Linked DNA regions of Neodiprion lecontei. The protein of the gene in region 1 binds, or shares a complex with, the protein of each later gene. Links are inferred from orthologs where the notes say so. Each region holds a gene or a part of one and is shown in the gene's direction. Other genes may lie near its edges. The genes, in order: CCR4-NOT transcription complex subunit 11, CCR4-NOT transcription complex subunit 10-B and CCR4-NOT transcription complex subunit 9.

Region 1 (7,396 bases):
GATTGCAGCTGATTGAGAGTTTAGAAGATTTCTTCAAATGAAACTGAGTAATTACCCTGGCCAGAGTCTCTCCGTGAACGACAGTGTTACTCGTTAGTAGCAGGGTAACACTTTGAAGAATTTTCACTTCCTCTGTACCAGATTCCATCAGCATCCATAGAGCATCTGTAATGTATCGGGCTCCTTTTGTGTCCACCGCTTGCTGTGTTATGAGCCTTTGCATCATGCCTAAGCAAAACTGAAATAAAAACAGGATAAATTAAAAGTTAACTTCATAATCTATAAGTTGGATAATTGGTTTTCAGTGAATTTTTCAGTACATATTCTTCCATAATTCTACGATTTTGTGCCAAAGTTTATCTAATTTTTGAGATTTCTAGTACACCCATTATTTTTGTTCCTTGTCCGTTGATTCATACTTTAAGTCAACTTGATAAGAATTGATAAAGTAGATAGTCTAAGTCATATTGAACAATATGTTAAAATTAAAAAACCTCTGTTCATGCTGCTGAAACGAAATCACAAAAGACTAATCACAAACTAACAATTTGAATAAACGTTTCAACTTATAAGCTAGCCATTACATTTTTTCCTGTAAGACTAACACCAGCAGTAATGCTTTTTGATACCTTTATAATCTTTACATCTCGACTTTCGCATCCTTGTACCAAAGGATATAATATTTGATTGACAATGTAGTATATCGGTGTTCCAGGACTATTGGCAGCTGTCCGTAACTTAGATATTCCTTCTTCGCAGGACTGTGAAACAAAAGAAATATTTAAAAATTTCACATCAAGGCAGATGGAATTGTACAATCGTCAATTATTCGATAAGGTAGGCAAACAGAAATAATTTCAGAAGCGAGCTTTTCGTGGTTAACAAAGTTTGAAAACAAATTACTGAGACCGTATTAGAACGTTTTGACAGCTGTCAAAATGTTCTGAGTCAAGACTTGTTTGTTCTTCAGCAACAGTAAAGCAAGAAGACATGATGCGCGAACAATAATTGTTGTAAGTTATGTTGAAGTCGCAAACAGGCTATAGGTCATTATCAAAAGAATGCTTATGATCGAGCAGATAATAACATCCTGACCTAACCTAAAATGAGAATAATCAATTAAATGGTGAATAATTGATGGCGTATGGATAAGATACGATACCTCTCTAATCTGTGGATACTTTTTTTTAGTTTCCGATGACAGAACCTTTAAATCAGATTGCAAAGACTCAAGGAATTTGGCAACGTTCTCCTGGCCGCCTCCGACGGCTGTATTTACCATCATCTTGTTGATTACAGTAATTTGTGATAAAATCGAGGTGGAGCCTTCGGTGAGGCGGATATTATTCTTTCATGACAGTTAAACTTCGATGAATTTCACTCGCACTTAACAGTTTCCTTGCAGCGAACGTCAGAAAGCGTAATCACAGATGCCGCATTAACAGATGAGCTGGCATTCTGATCGCTCCGTTTATCAGAAATGACAACCACGAAGTTATTGCTAGTTCGTGATGACAACCAGTCAGCTAACCAACCATCAGCCAACCACCGTTTCGTATAGGCTCGCCCTTTTCGTATCACCCCCACTCTACACCATCTCGGCCGAGTTCGAATAACACCAAGGGTATGTTCCGATATACACTGCGAGCACTGTTCAGTGCTCTTACTGGGGAGAAAATCGTTCCGACAGTATACAGTCGCAGTATCATAGGGAAATATATGACGTCATAAATCGTCGCCATTTTTCTACTGTGAACACTGGTGCTTTCGGGGTAAGGTGCTCTCAGTGCTTTGATCACGTGATCAACAGCGTTCAGAAATTTAACAGCTTCCACTATTGATAATTATTATTATTGAATATTGTCATTTAAAAATATCGGCCGTTAAAAACAAAAATGGAAAATTTGAATAAATTGTTTTTATTGCAATGTGAAACAAATATTATGTATGAAATGAAAGTAACGCCAAAAAATGTCGATCACAGTATACTGTACTGCGTTCCGTTTTAAGCAGTAACCAGTATAGCTAACTATACAGGAACGGCTTCGCAGTATACTAAATTGACGACACACCTTACAGTGCTCGCAGTGTATATCGGAACATACCCCAAGTCCGCAATTTGCGATCTAATCCTAAAATTCTACGAGCGACCTCGAGAAATTTTCAAATTCAGGTGGCAATAAAAAAAAAAAAAAACTACACGAAACCTACTGTACCCATTTTTACCAATTTTACCCGACATCCCGAAGTGATTCTACACTACCATGGCCCCTAATAAAATTCACTCAACTGCAGAGAGGCTGAGTATAATGACCTAAAAATACCTACTTTTGGCGTGACGATTATAATCCAAGTAACTCTACAGACCACGATGATGAAAACAATTATCTTCTATGCTGGCGCACAGGAGTTAAAATTTAATTAAGTAAATGATGAAGTATCGCTTTCGGTTTACCGTCAAAATTGATGAATAATGAATGAATTTTGTTAACTCCGTCTTGATACGAATACTCAAAGTAGCAAAACATTGGCGATTGATCAGTTTTCGAGCTTTTCAAGTATAGTCTACAAAATTTGAAAACACTCTCGATCATTTGAAGTAAAATATGATGGATTTTATGAAATAATAAATGCAAAAACGAAAAATGATCGAAGCCAATATGCAACTTTGCAAAGCTTCTCGATTTATCCGCCAAACATTGGATGACATCACGTGGTACAGGATCCGTAAAATATTGACGCCTCATTTTTCTTCCCAATTACTTTGTCCGTGACAACTTGAAAAAAAATGTTTTGCTGAGAGGTTAAGAAACATTGAAGTGACTTCAAGTAATTGAATAAATATGTAAATATTGTAGATTTAAAGTGCATAATCCTTCTAATATCTAATATGTGTAAAATTCTGGGGCTCACTCATTTCCATCAGTAGGAATCTTCGGCAAAGAAAATTTTTTCCCACCGAAACTGAAGGTTACCGTAATAACAACAACATAGTCATTCAAATTGAATTTGCCTAGAAGTGTGTTTCGAAACCCTTCGAAGCTGTACGAAACCTTTGGCGATAAGTATTGTAATTGATTGGTGGATGAAATCTCGACGCTTTCACCGAATATTGACTCCAAAAAACTCTGTACAAACTCATCGATAAAGTCCGCAATTCGTCATGTCTGCAACACCAAAGCAATTATCAAACCTGCTTGATATTCTGGACGAGGAGAACCTGGATACCAGTTTAGAATCACTATCTAATCAGTTACACCAGGCGTTTGCAAAGGAGGATCTCTTCAAAGTCGGAACAACCCTGTTGCTGCTTCTTCAGCACATCGATCTCCTGCCAAACAATGTTCAGCGAATAATGGCGCTCGCTCTTCTCTACGACCTTTATCGAGGCGAGCAACTGGCGTCTACGCCGTTTGCCACAGTGTTCATCCAGGTATTGAAGCCCTCGGATGAGAGTGCTTCAGGTTCGGTGTCTCGGCCAAACTTCTCTGGACACATCCCGGCGCTCTCCAGATGCGAGAAGAACCTGCTTAGCCACCTACTCGGCTATGGAGCCAAAGAGACGATGAAAAAAACAGCGAGACAAATCATAGAAGAGATGTCTCACTCGGCTACTCCTCTCGTCGATCTCACTAGTCTGCAGCTTCAACTAGCCGAAAGGCTGTCGGAACTACCAAGTGTAAGCAAATGTGGAAATCCAGTAATCCTCCCGGATATGGACCGCTCGAAAGCTGGCGAGATAGACAAGACAGTTGGCAGAGCTATAGCGGAGAGTCTTGTGATCGGCGAGCCACCTCTTTGTAGCCAAAGCTATCGGCCAGAATTCCTGAGGCTCACACCACCGTTGTATCACTCCGCAGATGAACTTGCATGGATGAACGTTGAGGAGCCGAGCCAGTTCACGGTTGAGTACGATTCTTCCATGTGTGTGTCTAATTGTGCAGGGGCCGAGGCACGCAGACTGATGGGCAGAGCGTATAAGAGTGCCTTGACGCTCCAGCAGCAACAGCACTTGCTTATGGAGCTAGACGCTGACCCAAAACTCGTTTACCACATCGGTTTGACCCCCGTAAAGCTTCCGGACTTGGTTGAAAACAATCCGCTAATAGCTATTGAAGTCCTGCTGAAGCTTATGCAGTCCAGCCAAATAACAGAGTACTTCAGCGTGCTGGTTAATATGGAGATGTCCTTGCATTCGATGGAAGTTGTGAATAGATTGACAACCACAGTCGATCTACCAACAGAGTTTGTTCACCTTTACATCAGTAATTGCATATCGACTTGCGAAACCATCAAAGATCGATATATGCAAAATCGTTTAGTCCGTCTGGTTTGCGTGTTCCTTCAGTCTCTAATCAGAAACAAGATAATCAATGTTCAAGAACTTTTCATCGAAGTACAAGCCTTTTGCATCGAATTTAGCAGGATTAGAGAAGCTGCTGCGCTCTTCCGGCTGCTTAAACAACTTGAATCTGGTGATATCGGTGGGCTCAATACCCCGCCGGCTAAGAGTAAGATCGATCCTTGCTGAAAAGAGTTATTGCAAGTAATGGAAAACTTGGATTGTAATAAATAGTTAAGAAATGGATCATCGTGGTATTGCAATTGGAAAGTTGAGATGCTTCAGTTGGTATACTCTTCATGGAAATATTGAACCAAATCTTCTGGGCCGCATGGATTCGAATTTTTTTTTAACATTCAATAATAATAAGTATTGACTGATCAGGAAATATTCTGTTACTCAATCGATTTTTTAGCAGAAGAACTAGGTAATGAGTTTTTTTTTTTTTTTTCAAGTCAACTTTGTTTAAATTTGACAATATTATTATTTTTTTTCTTTTTTTTTTTACAAGTATACGTATAATAAGTTCTGTTTTATACAAATTCATCAAATCAATAATTTTGAACTCTTTGTTCCATAATTAATATTTCTGTAAAACGTTTACTTACGTTAATACACAATCTTAGAATTGGGCAAGGACTTCATTCGAAAGTGTAATATCAATAAAATATATACTTTACAGTTAACTAGTTTCTCCTGGCTGTTATTAACCCGTGCAGATATATTTATATACGTATATGATAGATGAAATATTATGGTTAAACAGTTTTAGGAAATAATTTCCAATGATAAATTGACTCTTTAAATTATCGCACACAACGAATCACCTATAAAGTGATTAGAACAAGTCCTGCAATAAATTTAAAACTTATATAAATCCCGTATTTATTCATAGGTAGAAACGAAAATTTAGTCTACAAAATTCAGTTTTTGCAACAAAGTAATACGTCAATGTTATATTTCAACAATTCAAGAAACCATCATGTGTTAATCACCAATGATAGTCTGAACATATTGCGAATAATGATTTTATCAGTAGTTGATCGACTATTGATTTCTCAAGTGAATTCATAAATAATTGAATATAAATATTCGTGCCGTCAATTTTCTGTATTGTTATATTAAATATATTTATATGACATAGGCATAACTGAAGCCATAAATGTGTCTTTTTACAGGCAATACACATAAAGTACGGATCGTATGGCTACAGAAAATACAGGTCTTGTTTCAAGCTGGTCGATTTTCTAATAAGCTTACGACACTGCTTTATATTTCATATACTTTCTATACCTATACTATACTTTCAACCTATAGTATGATATTTTATGATACATGATTCGAGTCGTCCTCAGACGTGTATCTTTTAAATAAAGATTGTTATTATTATACACAACATTTTTAAAAATTATCTTCCAATTCCAATCATTTATATTAGCTCAGTGTTACTTTAATTACTATTGTTACAATCATTGTCAACGTCATCATCATCATCATAATGATTATTATTATTATTATTGTTATTATTATTATTGTTATTATTATTACTACTACTACTACTATAATATATACACGTAGAATATAATTTGACTTTTAAAGAGAAAATTAGTTGTACTCTAATTCATGTATAGGTATAACATTACATTAAGTGTTACGAGACCGCAAATGGACTTTAAAATTTTTATTAGAAACCAAACTTGGTCAGACTGGATTTGATCCATTTTATTCATGTGACATATCTGTTGTTTTCTATGACCGTAAACGTAAAACCGTTACACCTTTAAATTGTTATGCGAATTTGTACAATATTCTATACTTTATCCTGATGCAATCTCAAGCGGACGCAAAAGCTTGTGTAAATAGATCGTGTGAAAAGAAATCAAAAAGAGAATAATCGTATTCACGTATGAAGAGGAGAATTAAAAAAAGCTGTCGGTGCCATTTATTTATTCCATTTTATTTTTAATATTTTTTTTAATTTAAAAATTTTACTTTTAAATTCCCAATGATAAATAACTATGCAGTAATTTTACAGTTGCAGGCACTTGCACATTTTTTGATTTCTCCTCTTCGTAAGTGCAACTAACAACAATTTCAGAATTTTTCATCGCTCTGGTTAGGTGTAAATCAATCAAATTTCGATTGAACATCTAACACAACAATATCTCACAATCTTCAACTAATTTTCAATCATTCAATCAACGAAAGGTATCAACAAGTACCTTTAATTTATGTACAAAAATCCTTAATCACTATGATGATATCTTGAGAAGTATTTGATCACTTCATCGATTCAATTTATCTCAGATGCAACAATGCGGGTCAGTCGGAATCTCTTAGCCGTTACCTCGCACATTATAAAATTGCGAAAGTACAACTACGGATGAGATTTTAAATCTTATGGTCCCTGATCGCTCAGCAAAGATGCCTCTATCAGGTTAATATAAATGGTTCTACTCGTAAATTTTGAGTTAAAAAAACAGAGAACTAAACATATGGAATTCATAATTTATTGTTAGTCTTTTCAAAAATATCAAATTAAAAAAAAAAAAAAATTAACTCTAATTACAACGCCTACCGATATATGAGGTTAAAGTTAGTACGTTGCCTTGATAAAACGTTAGGAAGAAAAATCATCACTTTGCAATTTTAGAATGATTTTGAAAGAGTTGAGTTTTAAAAATATGAAAACGTTTCTGCCTCGTTACGATTTACTCAATTTCGGACGAAATTAAAGTTGCGAAAAAACTATTCTTCTTAAACATTCATTATAAAATTAACGTTACTGATTTCAACCTCATCACAATATTAGGAAATTATAGGCTGGTGATAGAACAAACTTTTCTGAATAACTAGAGACCAAAGATGCCAAAGTTGTGCAGCTACGATCTATTTCCTAAACGGAACCCAACAATAACGTTCAATCCTTCTGAAATTTAAGCTAACTATGTCTAATATTCAACACCATTATTTTTCTTCTTCGTCTTTGTACTTTTCTACAATGCGGCAATGTCTTTAAGTCGTTTTCCTTTCTTGACTGTTGTTTGCATTTTC
Region 2 (6,417 bases), about 24 Mb from region 1:
TCAGAATACTGCTACCCGATCGCCCAATTTCAGACAGATGTGATTCGCAAACGAGAAATTTCCTATTAAAAGTAAGAAATGTTTTAGTCAGAGATTTTCACAAGAAACACACTGATAGCCTATGGGACGAAAGTCCTGAGTAACCCTGTATATGGGTTGATGTTTTGCTAGCAAAATCAAAACATAACAAAACAAAGTATGTAGTTAAAATTGTAAAACAAATTTCTACAACATTTTGAGAAAGCTCAATATTATTTACGTATTCATCGTATGTAACGCACAATTCCTTGCACAATATGTACACAATATATGACACAAAACTATGTCTTCTTATTAGTTTTGTTTTTTTTTTTTTTTTTTTTTTTTAATCAATTTAATTTTTCTTATTTTCTGATTCATGGTCGACAGTAGAATCCGTTGATGAAATGACACCCACTTTTTTTTTTACCCATTTCAGCAATAGCTTACATTAAAACATCATGGTGATCACTATCATCAGAAAATACTTGAATCAGTTGCTATGACACAACATTTTTCTCAAACATTACAACAACATTCTTCAATCAGTTTCATTATTTGAATCTTTGGGTGGTCTGTACAAATGTTATTCTACTGACATAATTACTCATTCTATGAGCCTCTAAAATGTATATCTCGAAGTAAGAAAAAAAAGTTAATCGAAAGACAAAAAAACTATTTAAAAACAACCAATAGTCGATAAGTGTGTGACAATAAATCTCACATTTTATCAACTTTGGCAGTCCCGTTTATCAGTTGCATTGTCCTGCAAATCAATATCTGAAGGCAAACTGTCTTCGATGTATTGAATTGAGTCTTGATCGGTATCATTTTGTATCTTTGATTGAAGATATGGGTCTATAAGCCACCCTTGCTTGCTGTCCACTTCTCTAGACACGACAAGAAACAATTCCTTTTCCTTGCTATCGATCTGCTCCTTTAAGTATGCTATCAATTCATTATCCTGTAAAGTATAGATACTATGCAGTACAGGGCAGTGTTAAAAAATGAGTAGTAAACTTAAACACTAATATGAATTAGGAGAAAAAAGTATATATTAACCTTTCCGATGAGTTGTGGCGTCTCAAGTTTGGAATCAAGATTGTAAAAAGTGCCGCTTATTTTACGCAAGGCGACCCAGTGCCGTCTTTTTAGTGGTAGCAAAACAAATCCTAGCTTATACTCGGTGGGTACGTTTAATATAAAGCCTTCAATGTTATCGAGACAAAGACATTTTGGATCTCTGAAAAAATTGATTGCCTTCAAATCAACAAAAGTGACTATTGCATCAGGTTGAGAAAAAGCAAAATATTACCTGCGTTTATCAAACCACACAGCCTCATGACCTTTTCTTTGTAAAGCAGCCATGATAACGTTGATATCATAATTACCAAGTCCCAGTAAAGATTTGTGCGGATTTATCCAAACGTCGGGGCTCAGACTATAACATATTTGATCTAATTCTTGCTTCGTAAATCCGTGCTCTTGAAATAGATTGTTCAAGGCGTGTAAAGCACAGAGCTCTTTAACCTGTGTCATTTGTAAACAGAATATTGTATACAGTGTGACAGGAAGTGGGGATGATAAAAATTAGTGTAAAATGAAGTGTATTTCTCATTATGTTACCTGACGTTCATGATATATAGATCCATTCATGTCAAAAACTACACTTTTCACCATTCTTACTACATAATTATGCGACTACTCAAGTTGATGATTGTCATTAATTCTACTAAAACGTTGCTTTATTAGGGTGAAAATGAGAGGCGGACGTGAGTAAGATCTCTGCGTTTTTCAAGTTACTACATCTACATCGTAGTTAGTCGTAACTTGTTTAATTTAATATTTAATAAATATAACCTATTCTGTTTTGTCTGACAGAAAGGATGGACAAAACACTACTATGTACAACCAGTTGTTAGAGATGCGATCACGGCCACAAAGTGCAGTGAATTATGCAAGATGTTGACTGACTTGCGTCCCGGAAGATATTGCCAAACGCCAAATGACTTAATAACGCTCTCTTGTGGATTTCCAATAGAACTGTTTCAGAAGTCACCTGACCTGCGTTTGACGATTTTTACGAAATAATTATTGGTATTCATAACCTCTTAACCGTGATTTTGTAACAAAAACACGTGATATATTTATTACTACATGAATTTGACCCGAAAAAATCTGTGATTAAACTAGGTGTGACCTTGTTTAAAAGTTTTTCATATTGATATAGATTATTAAGTGAGTTTAGTTAAAAAGTCACTCTCAAACCTGACCTAACCTAACAATGATCTCATCTGTCAAACCCTGATTTGCTTTTCCTTGTGTTATTTTACGTGTAATACGAATTATCAAAGTTTGATAAGTTTTACAAATCTATTCGAACACTAACTAATCAACTCTTTTTATTCCAGGAATTTGTTACCACTTATTCAATATCAATCAATTTAACGATGACAGAGATTTCGGAGTCGCACAATAACGATAGTACAGCCTCGGTGATAACTGACCAGGAACGTGAATTGGCTCAGAATGCTTTGACCGATTTTCAGAAAAGCGCTTATTCAGGATGTCTGAGCAACTTGAACAAACTAGAGGCGTTGAGACCAAAAGATCTGAAAGTAATGCACAACAAAGTTGTCACCGAGTATTACAAAAGTGATCTGAAAAAGACTGAGCTGTTTAGAAAAAGTCTTAATGCTATATGTGGTCAAATAAGTACCGCCAACACAACTGAAGCTGTTGACGATGTCGAAAGATGCGTCATGCGATACAATCAGGCTGTTCTTCTTTTTCACACCAAACAGTATGACTTGGCTCTTAAAGTAGTCAACAAGCTGTTCACATTCGTCGAGCCGATGGGTGAGCAATTTACAAATTAGCTCGTCCTTCTGCAGGCTCCTTACAGACATTCCTTTTTGCACTAATGTTCTTTATTAAATTAGTTGCTGATTTCGTCACTGTCTTAATTACGATCAGTTCATTTGACAAGTTTTTGTGTTTACAAAGTTCTGAGCATCATTGTTATTCACATCGTTAAATTTTGCCCATTCTAGAGGAGAGTCTGGCGCATAAAGTCTGTCTGTTACTCATAAAGCTGCACATCGTTACAAATCAACCTGATGCAGCATTGTCGCTGTTAAATTATATTGAAAGTCAATTTGTCTCTACGGATACGTCCAAGATCACACCGACAGACAAGGAGAACGCTATAAAGCCTATCAAAGAGCAAAAAGAGAAGACGGATAATGTTGACGCAGCAACAGATGCATTTAGGATCAAATTGTTAAAGTACAAGGCGAGGATCTACCTCATGACCCATCAGCTCAAGTTGTGTAAGAAGGAGTGGAAGGCTCTTGTTGCTTCCGGCACACCTGTTGTAAGTTTCATCTTGAAACAGTGAAACTTGAAACCAGGTTTTTCACAGGAAATATAAACGTGCCCTGATGAAGAACCTTATACTTCTTAAATCTTCAAGTAGTATTTGAAAAATTATGATGTATCATGCAAAGCGGTGAAATTTGACACAAGTCATACACCTGTTTCATAAAAAATGTGCTGGATATTGATCGTAGAAAAATTTGCACCAAGGCTTGCTTTTGATTTGTTGTTTTTAGAACGTCTCATCTATACTTCTGAAGGGAAATTTGGAATATCTGAGAGGGAATTACAGAAAGGCTATCAAAATATTAAATTCCATATCTGCAGATGGTCTGGAATACAAGTAAGCTGCCAATGTATCAACTATATTTTTGTACCATCTTGGCTATGTCTGGAACTTGTAAGACAATCTGATCGGTTGTTCGAAGACCTAGTTATTTTTTTGTTTGACATTATTTTACACTGTCAATCTACTGCTTACAGAAGCAGCGGAGAATCGGCGGCAGTTTTATACTATAACAATATGGCTTGTCTGCACCATGCGATGGGCAAACCAAACTTGGCTTGTTACTATTTACAAAAAGCGTTACAAGAGAACAAAAATGCGGTTGAAAGCATCCAAGTTAAAGATGCTGGTAAAATCTAATAACATTTTCATAACTTTGAACATTCAATTTTTGTCTTCCAAAGCATCAACTTAAAACTAAACTCTGATAAATATTCGCAGATCCGTTTTTGTCGCAACCGCTTTATACTCTTGGCGGTAATAAGCATTACGAATTAATGTACAGCTTGGGGGTATCGCTACTACATGCAAGACGTGCAGCGCAGGCATTTGAATGTTTCACAGAATCCGCGCAAAAACTGCACAACAGTCCACGTCTCTGGCTGAGAATGGCCGAATGCTGTATATATAGTCATAAGCCGGTGAGTGTCTACAATTTGTTTTAATAATCGTAAGTGTTTATAGACTTATTTATCAAAATCTTTTCAGACGAATGAAATTGACTTTAATATACACAAACGTCGCAAGGATCTCGTACAAAAAGTAGTCGGTAATGGCATATACAGAAAAATTATTTTGGCATCAGCTTTATCAAAAGACACTAAATACCACACAGAAGGATTGTCTTGCGCCATACCTCAACCTACTCTAGAATTTGGAATGTTGTGTTTGAAAAATGCCTTATTTCTTCTACCAAATGACAACAATGAGTTGAACTTGCCGTCGACACCAATGGCTGGTCCGCAATCTGTTCCAATGTCTCTGAAGCCGTCTCATGTACTAGGTGAATTAAGAAATTTATTAGGTCCTAAAATTGAAACGTTTTATTTGTCATAACAAAAAAAATTTGTAAAAGTTAGAGTTCGCATAACGCAGTCTACTATAATTGAAATTCCTTAAGGTGGCCAACATGCGACTCAGGTGTCGCAGGCGACGGCGCTAGAGGCATTGAATTTAAAGGCAAGCGTACTTGCAGCCAGTGCCTACATCTCCTTGTGTCTTGGTGACAACGTCGTAGCTCTAGAGCATGCAAAGGCTTTACTCGGCATGTCAAAATTGCCCGGTGCGTATAAAATGCTAGGAAATTTATATGCCGCCGAGAGCTTAATTCTCATGAATAAAATAAACGAGGCCATTGAGTACCTAAAGCCTGAGAATATTCAAGATATAGATACATTTCTACCAATTCCCGAAACTCTGGATAAGGATAAAGATAAATCCGAAGAACCATTTGTAACACCTGTGAGAAGTAAGTAGAAAAGAAATGAAACGAACAAACAGATTAGGATGTTGATCAAATTTTTTAGTTATCGGTTTCATGCCGTTTGTTCTATTCTGTAGGTTGGTACCCCAACAGTCTTCCCACAGGAAAAGCAGTTCTTCAGTACAACTTAGCAGTAGCTTACGCAATTCGAGGCGAACTAGATAAATCTGGAGAAACTTTAAAGCAGGTAATCTACCAAAGAGTTGTTTTATTCGTCTCCGCTCATCAATGTACTGAATTGTAATAATTGTATTCCGTTTTTTCATTTATTCGCATATGTATATTTATTCTTCTCTATCCCAGGTGTGGATTTCTAAGGGTCCTAATTGCGACGTTCCAATACATGTTATAATGTTGGCATTATACATAGAATTGCAATTAGGTAAGCGATCTATGCTCATCTTTGTTTAAGTTTGTTACTTTGTTAGATTCTGATGAAAATTAATGAAATAATTTTATATCTTCTGCTTTCAGGCAATGCGCACGTGTCAAAATCAATAATAAAGCAGCATTGTCCGCAATATCAATAAATTTGTAAAATTGAATAATAGACTGACGGGGATCGATCAAATTCAACGATGATTACCTGCACAAGGGCGAAATCGTTCTTTGTAATATTTATATTATACAATAAATATACAGCTTAACTATTATGTATATACACACATGCATACATTATACATGTAAATTAACAATCAAATTTTCCAATTATACACGTTGATTACAATCAAGTGTGTTACCTCTATATTTACGATATAGATACGATAGTAGTTCAATTATCGAATTATTATAGCCAACTTTAAAGAAACTAAACCTTTATAAAAACAATATCTTTTCCTTATTCAAAACCTTTTGGACATCGCATCGACTTCCCGCTTTAAAACGAAATAATGACAAATGAACAAGACTCCCTGGTACATGCGTATGTTACAGTTTCCGTTAAACCCGCGATGCAGTTGCCAGTCAGAGCCAATCAGGAGCTCGGAGTTATTCCCGGTCGGTAAGTTAGTATAGAGATCAGACGTAATGATTGAATACGACGTATGTGTGTATGTATTACGCAGAGCTGCGGCTTGAGAAACGGCATCAGTGCATCGGGAGATCGCAGAAGCGACGGTCGAGAGCCGAAAGATTCTGTGTATGGACGCGCTGGTGAGAGGAAGAAGCAGTCTAGAGTTGGTCTGGATTTTCGTTGGCAAATTGCCTGAAGGTCTCTGCCTAGCAGCGCGGTGTTTGTTTATACCGTGTAAAT
Region 3 (6,300 bases), on another chromosome or scaffold:
TTTTTTTCTGTTAGTTCATACCTGCAAAAAACGGATTTATTGACAATTCGAAACGTGGGGATGCGTATAGTCCGTACGTACGAATTCTCAATATTCCTACTTTCAGTTTTGGTGTAGAAATCATGGTTGTTATACTCGACGATTTCATGCCGTATGCGGGGTTTGCTCATGCGGCTGTAGATAATTACACAATAAAGACAAGTTGATCGTTCGGTTTAACTATTATTTTATTCTTGCTCCCATTCTACCGGAGAAAATTTTTACCCCGTTTCTATAACGCTGCTCGGGTATCCGCTGCAGTGCTCCTTCACGCATTCATGCGTGTAATAACGTCAGGAGTCTTCGAACGTCCTTGAACCCTCGACGGCATCCTTGAGCGGCCTTGCGGGCCTCCGATGTTGCATGCATAACCGTCTCGGCTTTGCGGATTATTCAAGAATTTACACAATATGACAATTCATAATCGTACAATTACGATTCTGTGGTCGGAAATACGGGTAGAATTTGTTGCTCGGTTCGTTTATTTTCGTTAACGGGTTTCTCACGAAAGTACAAAATCAGCTGTAATTTTAACTTTATCCGAAATTGTATGTGTACTTAATTGCATAATACCTGCCGCGGTAATTAGTTTTCGATTAGCATGTCAATGAACCGCGACGTACGCTCCTTGTAAAGCTTCAGAGCAGTTTTTGTTGAAACCGGTTTTTTCAAACTCTCTACCAGGATATCTCGAAGACCGTCGAACCGATCCGTCTCAAATTCACAGGGTAGCCGATCATCATCGGATACTTCCAAATAACCGAAGGAGTGGAGGAAGTGAAGTGAAATTGATCGAATCGAATCTTGATCTTAAAAAATTTGAAAATCAAATAATTCCTGATTGATTCTATACAACATTTAGAGAGCTAGTCCTCATAATTGAAAAGAGCATTGATCTACAATTAGTAGTTCTAAGCAGGGAATTAAACGCGAGGGTGATGTGAAATCAGGGAGAACTTTGAGGCCTGAGACGGAGGCAGTTCCCCAGTGATTTTTTATATCGCAGTATAAAATGTGCGGTGAAATATCAGCTAGTGAAGTGAAAATCAACAGCCCTGATTCAGAATCAGCGGCAGAGAGGAGTCTGAACGAGTCCACGTTGGTGTTTTCACTACTCTGTTTTCGTAGCGACATCTGGCACGAAATAGATTTGTGGAATTAAGTCTTGAGGTCCGTGGTCGGTAAGCGCATGTCGATAACATCATGAAAGCAGTGGGTAATGCAAAGCATATTTATAAAAGAGAAGTGCCACTGTAGTGGTCGAAGATGAACGTCGCCAACATTAATTAACAAATGATATTACCGCAGTATTACAATCGATTGACGAACTTTGTAATCTCGAAATTCACTGCAAGATATTTTCTATCACCTACGAGTATGTAAAATTTCCATTGACGGGCTGAATCAGTACTTACTCAAAGGTTTCAATGTTCGTTAATTAAAACCTGTTACATAATACCTTACTGGGGTTTAGTGCGCTTATGGAGTTGCGTGTCAAACGGCGCCCGCCGATGAAGAAGTTGGCGGATCGCTGACGGGGCTCCTTACGGCCGCAGGCTCACCACGCTGACTTACCATCCGAGTACTTGTTACGAAATCTGCACAGAGGTAACAGTTGTCTTCAAATACTTTCGTCAACGCAGTTATGTCGACAACGAAATGTCAAAACCTATTTTGAGTCAGAGGATGCTCATAAATTGGATCAACGAAAAATGCGATTGTGGCTTTACGAAGCTCTTCTCTGTAAGTAGCTTATGTAAGGAATGACCACCAAGCGCAACGCGCTTCGTCGGAGACAACCCAGCATGCCCGGAACACCTGGTGGCCCAAAGCTGACTTAATTTCACGCAATGCACACACACATGCTCGCACGTAGATGCATATGTAACGCTGCCGACGAGTGCCGACGAGCTACTAGAGTTATTTTTGGACAGCGTTGCGTTGATTGCGTCGTAAATAAACGGTATATTCGGTGCGGGTTGAGAGTTAAAAGTATATAATTTGAAGAGGAACAATTTCCCACCTTTTACGCGAGTATTTCGGCGACGTCTGAACAGTTCTTATCGCTTCAGTGTGAGCCAAATATGGACACCGGAATTTACGCGTAATTCACCGCCCGCTGTCCGTTTGGAAATCCTAACCTCAAAATCTCCGCGGCAGAGCAGAAACGCGCGGATCAGATATCCGAGAATCCTCGCTACTGTTCGACGGAGGTGGTTTGATCTGCGCTCAAAAAACGCTCCCCGAACTCTTAGCGTCCCTTTTAAAGCTGGCCGTATTACCGACATATGCCGAGGCCACAGCGGTAACGTATAATCAAAGATAACACTTGGTTCGAGATGTCTCGATGAACCGATGATCTCCGCGTAAAATGTGGTCTTTCAAAGTAAACAGACAACGGTTGTGACAACATTCGGCGCGTCATCTGATCTCGAATTGCTCATTTTAAACGTGCTCAATTAGACCTTCGTCATTTCTTCTATCGCACGATTGTATCGAAGATAAAATAACCCAGATTCCATTTTGGTCAGCTCCGATCTTCACCTCCTCAGTGTTTTCTACAAGCTGAATAAGTCCAGGAACGAATCTCGTCGCAATGAGTTCTCAGCAGAGTCCGGCTGCCCTGCAGGCAACCGTCGACGCCGACAAGGTATACACGTGGATTATCGAATTGTCTAATCCTGAGACACGGGAGAACGCCTTGTTCGAGCTGAGCAAGAAGCGCGAAGTTGTTCCGGACCTCGCCCCCATGCTATGGCACTCGTTTGGCACGACTGCTGCACTGCTCCAGGAGATTATCAACATATACCCTGCCATCAACCCAGCTACGCTTACTGCCTATCAAAGCAACAGAGTCTGCAATGCTCTCGCTCTCCTTCAATGCGTCGCTAGTCACCCTGAGACGAGATCTGCTTTTCTGCAGGTGATAGAAATTGCTCGGAAGCCAGTCTTCGGTTCGCTAACATTCCTGTAACGTCCTAATAACGGTTTATTTCTTTTCATTTCCTAGGCTCACGTACCTTTGTTCCTTTATCCGTTCTTGCATACCACGAGCAAGACGCGACCCTTTGAGTACCTGAGACTTACCAGCCTTGGAGTGATCGGAGCGCTGGTTAAAACTGATGAGCAAGAAGTAATCACGTTTCTACTCACCACCGAAATAATACCGCTCTGTTTGAGGATCATGGAAAGTAGTTCTGAACTGAGTAAAACAGTCGCTACGTTTATACTCCAGAAAATACTGCTCGACGATAGCGGACTTTCGTATATATGTCAAACTTACGACAGATTCAGCCACGTCGCTATGATCCTGGGAAAAATGGTTCTGTCCTTGGCCAAAGATCCCTCCGCCAGACTCCTCAAACACGTTGTTAGGTGTTACTTGAGGCTATCGGACAATCCCAGGTTCGTATTTATAGATTCGCAAGTTTATCAGCCTTGATTCTTATTTTCAAGATCGAGTTATAGAGTTTTAAATTCAAAGACAAGTAGTACTTTGCTTTGTTTTTCAACTGTTTCAATTATAAACTGGTTTGACGAAAGATTGTTATGTGGAAGGATTACGATTGGTTTGGAATTTCTTATGGCTCTGAGGTGTTTTTATGTTAATTTTTTTACAGAGCACTTCTGGCGTTAAGGCAATGCTTACCAGATCAACTCAGAGATAATACTTTTGCGACCTGCTTACAAGAAGACAAATCTACTACCCACTGGCTGAATCAGTTACTTAAGAACCTGGAAACTGGACCTCAGCCAGGGCCTCAAAATCAGCCAGGGCAACCAGATCCCAGGACGATCGGCATGTCACCCCTGACATCATAGACTGATTAATAATTTTCCTATCGTGAGGTAGAAATGATATTTTAGTAATGACTGTTGAATTAAGTGCCACTTGATAAGAGAAAGCAGTGAAGATACTATATAGGGTAAGAAAGTTATAAACTTATTTTTCTTATTTAGTGAAAATAACAACTTCACACTGCCGCGTGAGGGAAATATTTTGGCCAAAAAGAAAAATGGATCGATTCTCCGTTGTAAGGATTTAGTTGGCAAGATTATTAAAATTTGACAAGACAATAGTGAAGTAAATAAAGAAAAAAACAATGAAAAGAAAGACAATTGTTTTCTAGCAACAGTGATCGGTAATGTAAAAATATGAAGAAATTACTGGTATGATTATTGAATAATGACTGGTACCATTCTGAATATAGTCGTTTATTACTTTGTCATAATTTTTTTTTCTTTTCTTTTTTTTTAATCATGTTCCTAAAGTTTTCAAAAATTGTGCAGCCACTTCGAAGTATGCCAACATCACTGTCGGATGCCCGTGTTTAAAACAATTCCGCTATAAATGCGTTCAGACATGAAATATTTGTACATTAAATTTATGTTCACACGCTCTTGAGAAACAGCATGTTATGAATAATTTCAATGAATTCATTGATTGTATTGAGTTTGAGGTAAGCTTTCGCATCGCAAGATAATTTTTAACATCGGGAAATTTGCGTATCTAGTTTTGAGTTCTGTGATTGGCAGCAGCGGCGATTTTTCCTTGTTATACAAATTCTACCGTGAGGATATTATTTGCGAGGTTTCTTTACATTCATATTATTTTATATGTCTCTCTATACATGTATAAAAAAAAAAATATAATCAAAAAAACATACAATGGAATTGAACACTTTTGATTTACTTACCGAAATTGTTCACAATAACAAAAATTACAAATATTCTTATTTTAAAATATTGAATAGTAGCCAGTGCTCAGGGTTATCTCTTAGATTAAAAAGAGTATTTCATCGTTATAGCTCACGTTACTTCATTATTACATTAAGATCTTACTTAAAGAAAATTACCTGTGTATCTTACTTAAGCGCACAATTTATTATTACAATAATTTCATTCATTTAGCTGTAAAACACTTTGTATTAATTAGCGATGGTCTCAATTTCATGTGTTTATATTATTTGAAAGAAGAGTATTGCAGAACTGCGAATTAGATCGGATGAGGAGGGGTAATTAATTGTATAGTTGCGGTTCTTTCAAATGCATAATAAAAATCTCCTAAATCGCATCGCATCATTATAATTACGATAGTTATTATTTTTAGAACCCGGTGCACGCCCATAATGCAGATATTAATATGCTGGTATAATTATTGAAAGGAAGTTACAAATTATTCACGGGACTATGCCAGCGTTTACAACAGTGTGTGCAAATTTCCACGTATAGTAAATTGTAAAATTCGTTCAACATGTATATATATATATATATATTATGTAAGTATGATTATAAGCATAAAATATGTACCTTGCATGCTCTGTGTACTCTTGGGTGCGCCGAGATAGCCAAAATTGACATTTTAACCAATTTCTTTCTTGTTCTTCCTTCTGATTTTCTCCTAGAAAAGGAAAAACAACGCAAAGATGAAATAATATTCAATAGGTTTATTGACTTTAATGAATCTATATATAAATATATATCACTAGTCTAACTATATATAATAACAATAATTGTTATCAAAGCAATGTATACTTGTGTATAAAGATATTACGTGAGAAAGTCATGCTGCAGCTAGTAAGAGATATATATAATATTAAGTTGATGTAAGATTAATGCTGCTCTTGGTGATTGGCGTGCATTATACATATCGATGTCTATGTTTGTGCATATACAGTTGATTGATTGGTTAAAATTTTCAGATTCAAATATTATATGTATATGTCTGCAATTAATTATACGATTTTCTTAATTATATCGGCTCGCTAATATTATCATCATACATATCCTATCCTGTCCAAAAATTCCTATCATATGGAAAAAGTCTATATATATATATTATATATACGTACATAATATTTATATATTACATACTACAGTATATCGCAAAAAACTATTGATAATAAAATGAAAATGACTATAAAAAAATAAACGTTTTACATGTTAGATCGTATAGTAAAACGCGGTAATTTATTCGACAATTTAATTATTCGTTACTTATATCGGAATGTGTTACTAATTATTACATAATTATCAACTCGTCTCGGCTACTTGATTCACTTTTGCGAGTTCCGTCATATTCTGAAACGTAAAACGAGAAAACCAAATTTAATCCTTGTACACTGTAAATCTTGTTTACGCATTTCCACGAATAATTATTTCTTGGATGGGTTTTGTTCTTAGGCATACAATAATTATTTACCGTGGGACCTGAACCTCTTGTCAAAAGTTTATGTATAACGGGTGTGTACAAATTCTTGT

Evidence for each region.
Region 2: CCR4-NOT transcription complex subunit 11 (region 1) and CCR4-NOT transcription complex subunit 10-B share a complex: the UniProt entries of both Homo sapiens proteins name them as parts of the CCR4-NOT complex. The link is inferred for Neodiprion lecontei from reciprocal best matches to the Homo sapiens genes CNOT11 and CNOT10.
Region 3: CCR4-NOT transcription complex subunit 11 (region 1) and CCR4-NOT transcription complex subunit 9 share a complex: the UniProt entries of both Homo sapiens proteins name them as parts of the CCR4-NOT complex. The link is inferred for Neodiprion lecontei from reciprocal best matches to the Homo sapiens genes CNOT11 and CNOT9.

Annotation. Positions count from the first base shown.
Region 1 is NC_060264.1:28,417,630-28,425,025, reverse strand, and holds CCR4-NOT transcription complex subunit 11, read left to right. Parts: upstream 1-1,780; 5' UTR 1,781-3,163; coding exon 3,164-4,531; 3' UTR 4,532-6,881; downstream 6,882-7,396. Other genes in the region: protein MON2 homolog, read right to left, coding at 56-238, 630-761, 1,163-1,285. UniProt on the Homo sapiens protein: Component of the CCR4-NOT complex which is one of the major cellular mRNA deadenylases and is linked to various cellular processes including bulk mRNA degradation, miRNA-mediated repression, translational repression during translational initiation and general transcription regulation.
Region 2 is NC_060264.1:4,199,520-4,205,936, forward strand, and holds CCR4-NOT transcription complex subunit 10-B, read left to right. Parts: upstream 1-1,975; 5' UTR 1,976-2,115; exon of another isoform or gene 2,116-2,256; intron 2,257-2,429; 5' UTR 2,430-2,468; coding exon 2,469-2,877; intron 2,878-3,071; coding exon 3,072-3,394; intron 3,395-3,632; coding exon 3,633-3,739; intron 3,740-3,879; coding exon 3,880-4,031; intron 4,032-4,123; coding exon 4,124-4,323; intron 4,324-4,390; coding exon 4,391-4,685; intron 4,686-4,802; coding exon 4,803-5,150; intron 5,151-5,242; coding exon 5,243-5,352; intron 5,353-5,468; coding exon 5,469-5,547; intron 5,548-5,639; coding exon 5,640-5,695; 3' UTR 5,696-5,818; downstream 5,819-6,417. Other genes in the region: josephin-2, read right to left, coding at 749-982, 1,081-1,261, 1,334-1,548, 1,645-1,698. UniProt on the Homo sapiens protein: Component of the CCR4-NOT complex which is one of the major cellular mRNA deadenylases and is linked to various cellular processes including bulk mRNA degradation, miRNA-mediated repression, translational repression during translational initiation and general transcription regulation.
Region 3 is NC_060263.1:38,618,702-38,625,001, forward strand, and holds CCR4-NOT transcription complex subunit 9, read left to right. Parts: upstream 1-1,763; 5' UTR 1,764-1,782; intron 1,783-1,869; exon of another isoform or gene 1,870-2,570; 5' UTR 2,571-2,635; coding exon 2,636-2,962; intron 2,963-3,049; coding exon 3,050-3,444; intron 3,445-3,657; exon of another isoform or gene 3,658-3,659; coding exon 3,660-3,861; 3' UTR 3,862-5,794; downstream 5,795-6,300. Other genes in the region: sodium-coupled monocarboxylate transporter 1, read right to left, coding at 6,073-6,120, 6,242-6,300. UniProt on the Homo sapiens protein: Component of the CCR4-NOT complex which is one of the major cellular mRNA deadenylases and is linked to various cellular processes including bulk mRNA degradation, miRNA-mediated repression, translational repression during translational initiation and general transcription regulation.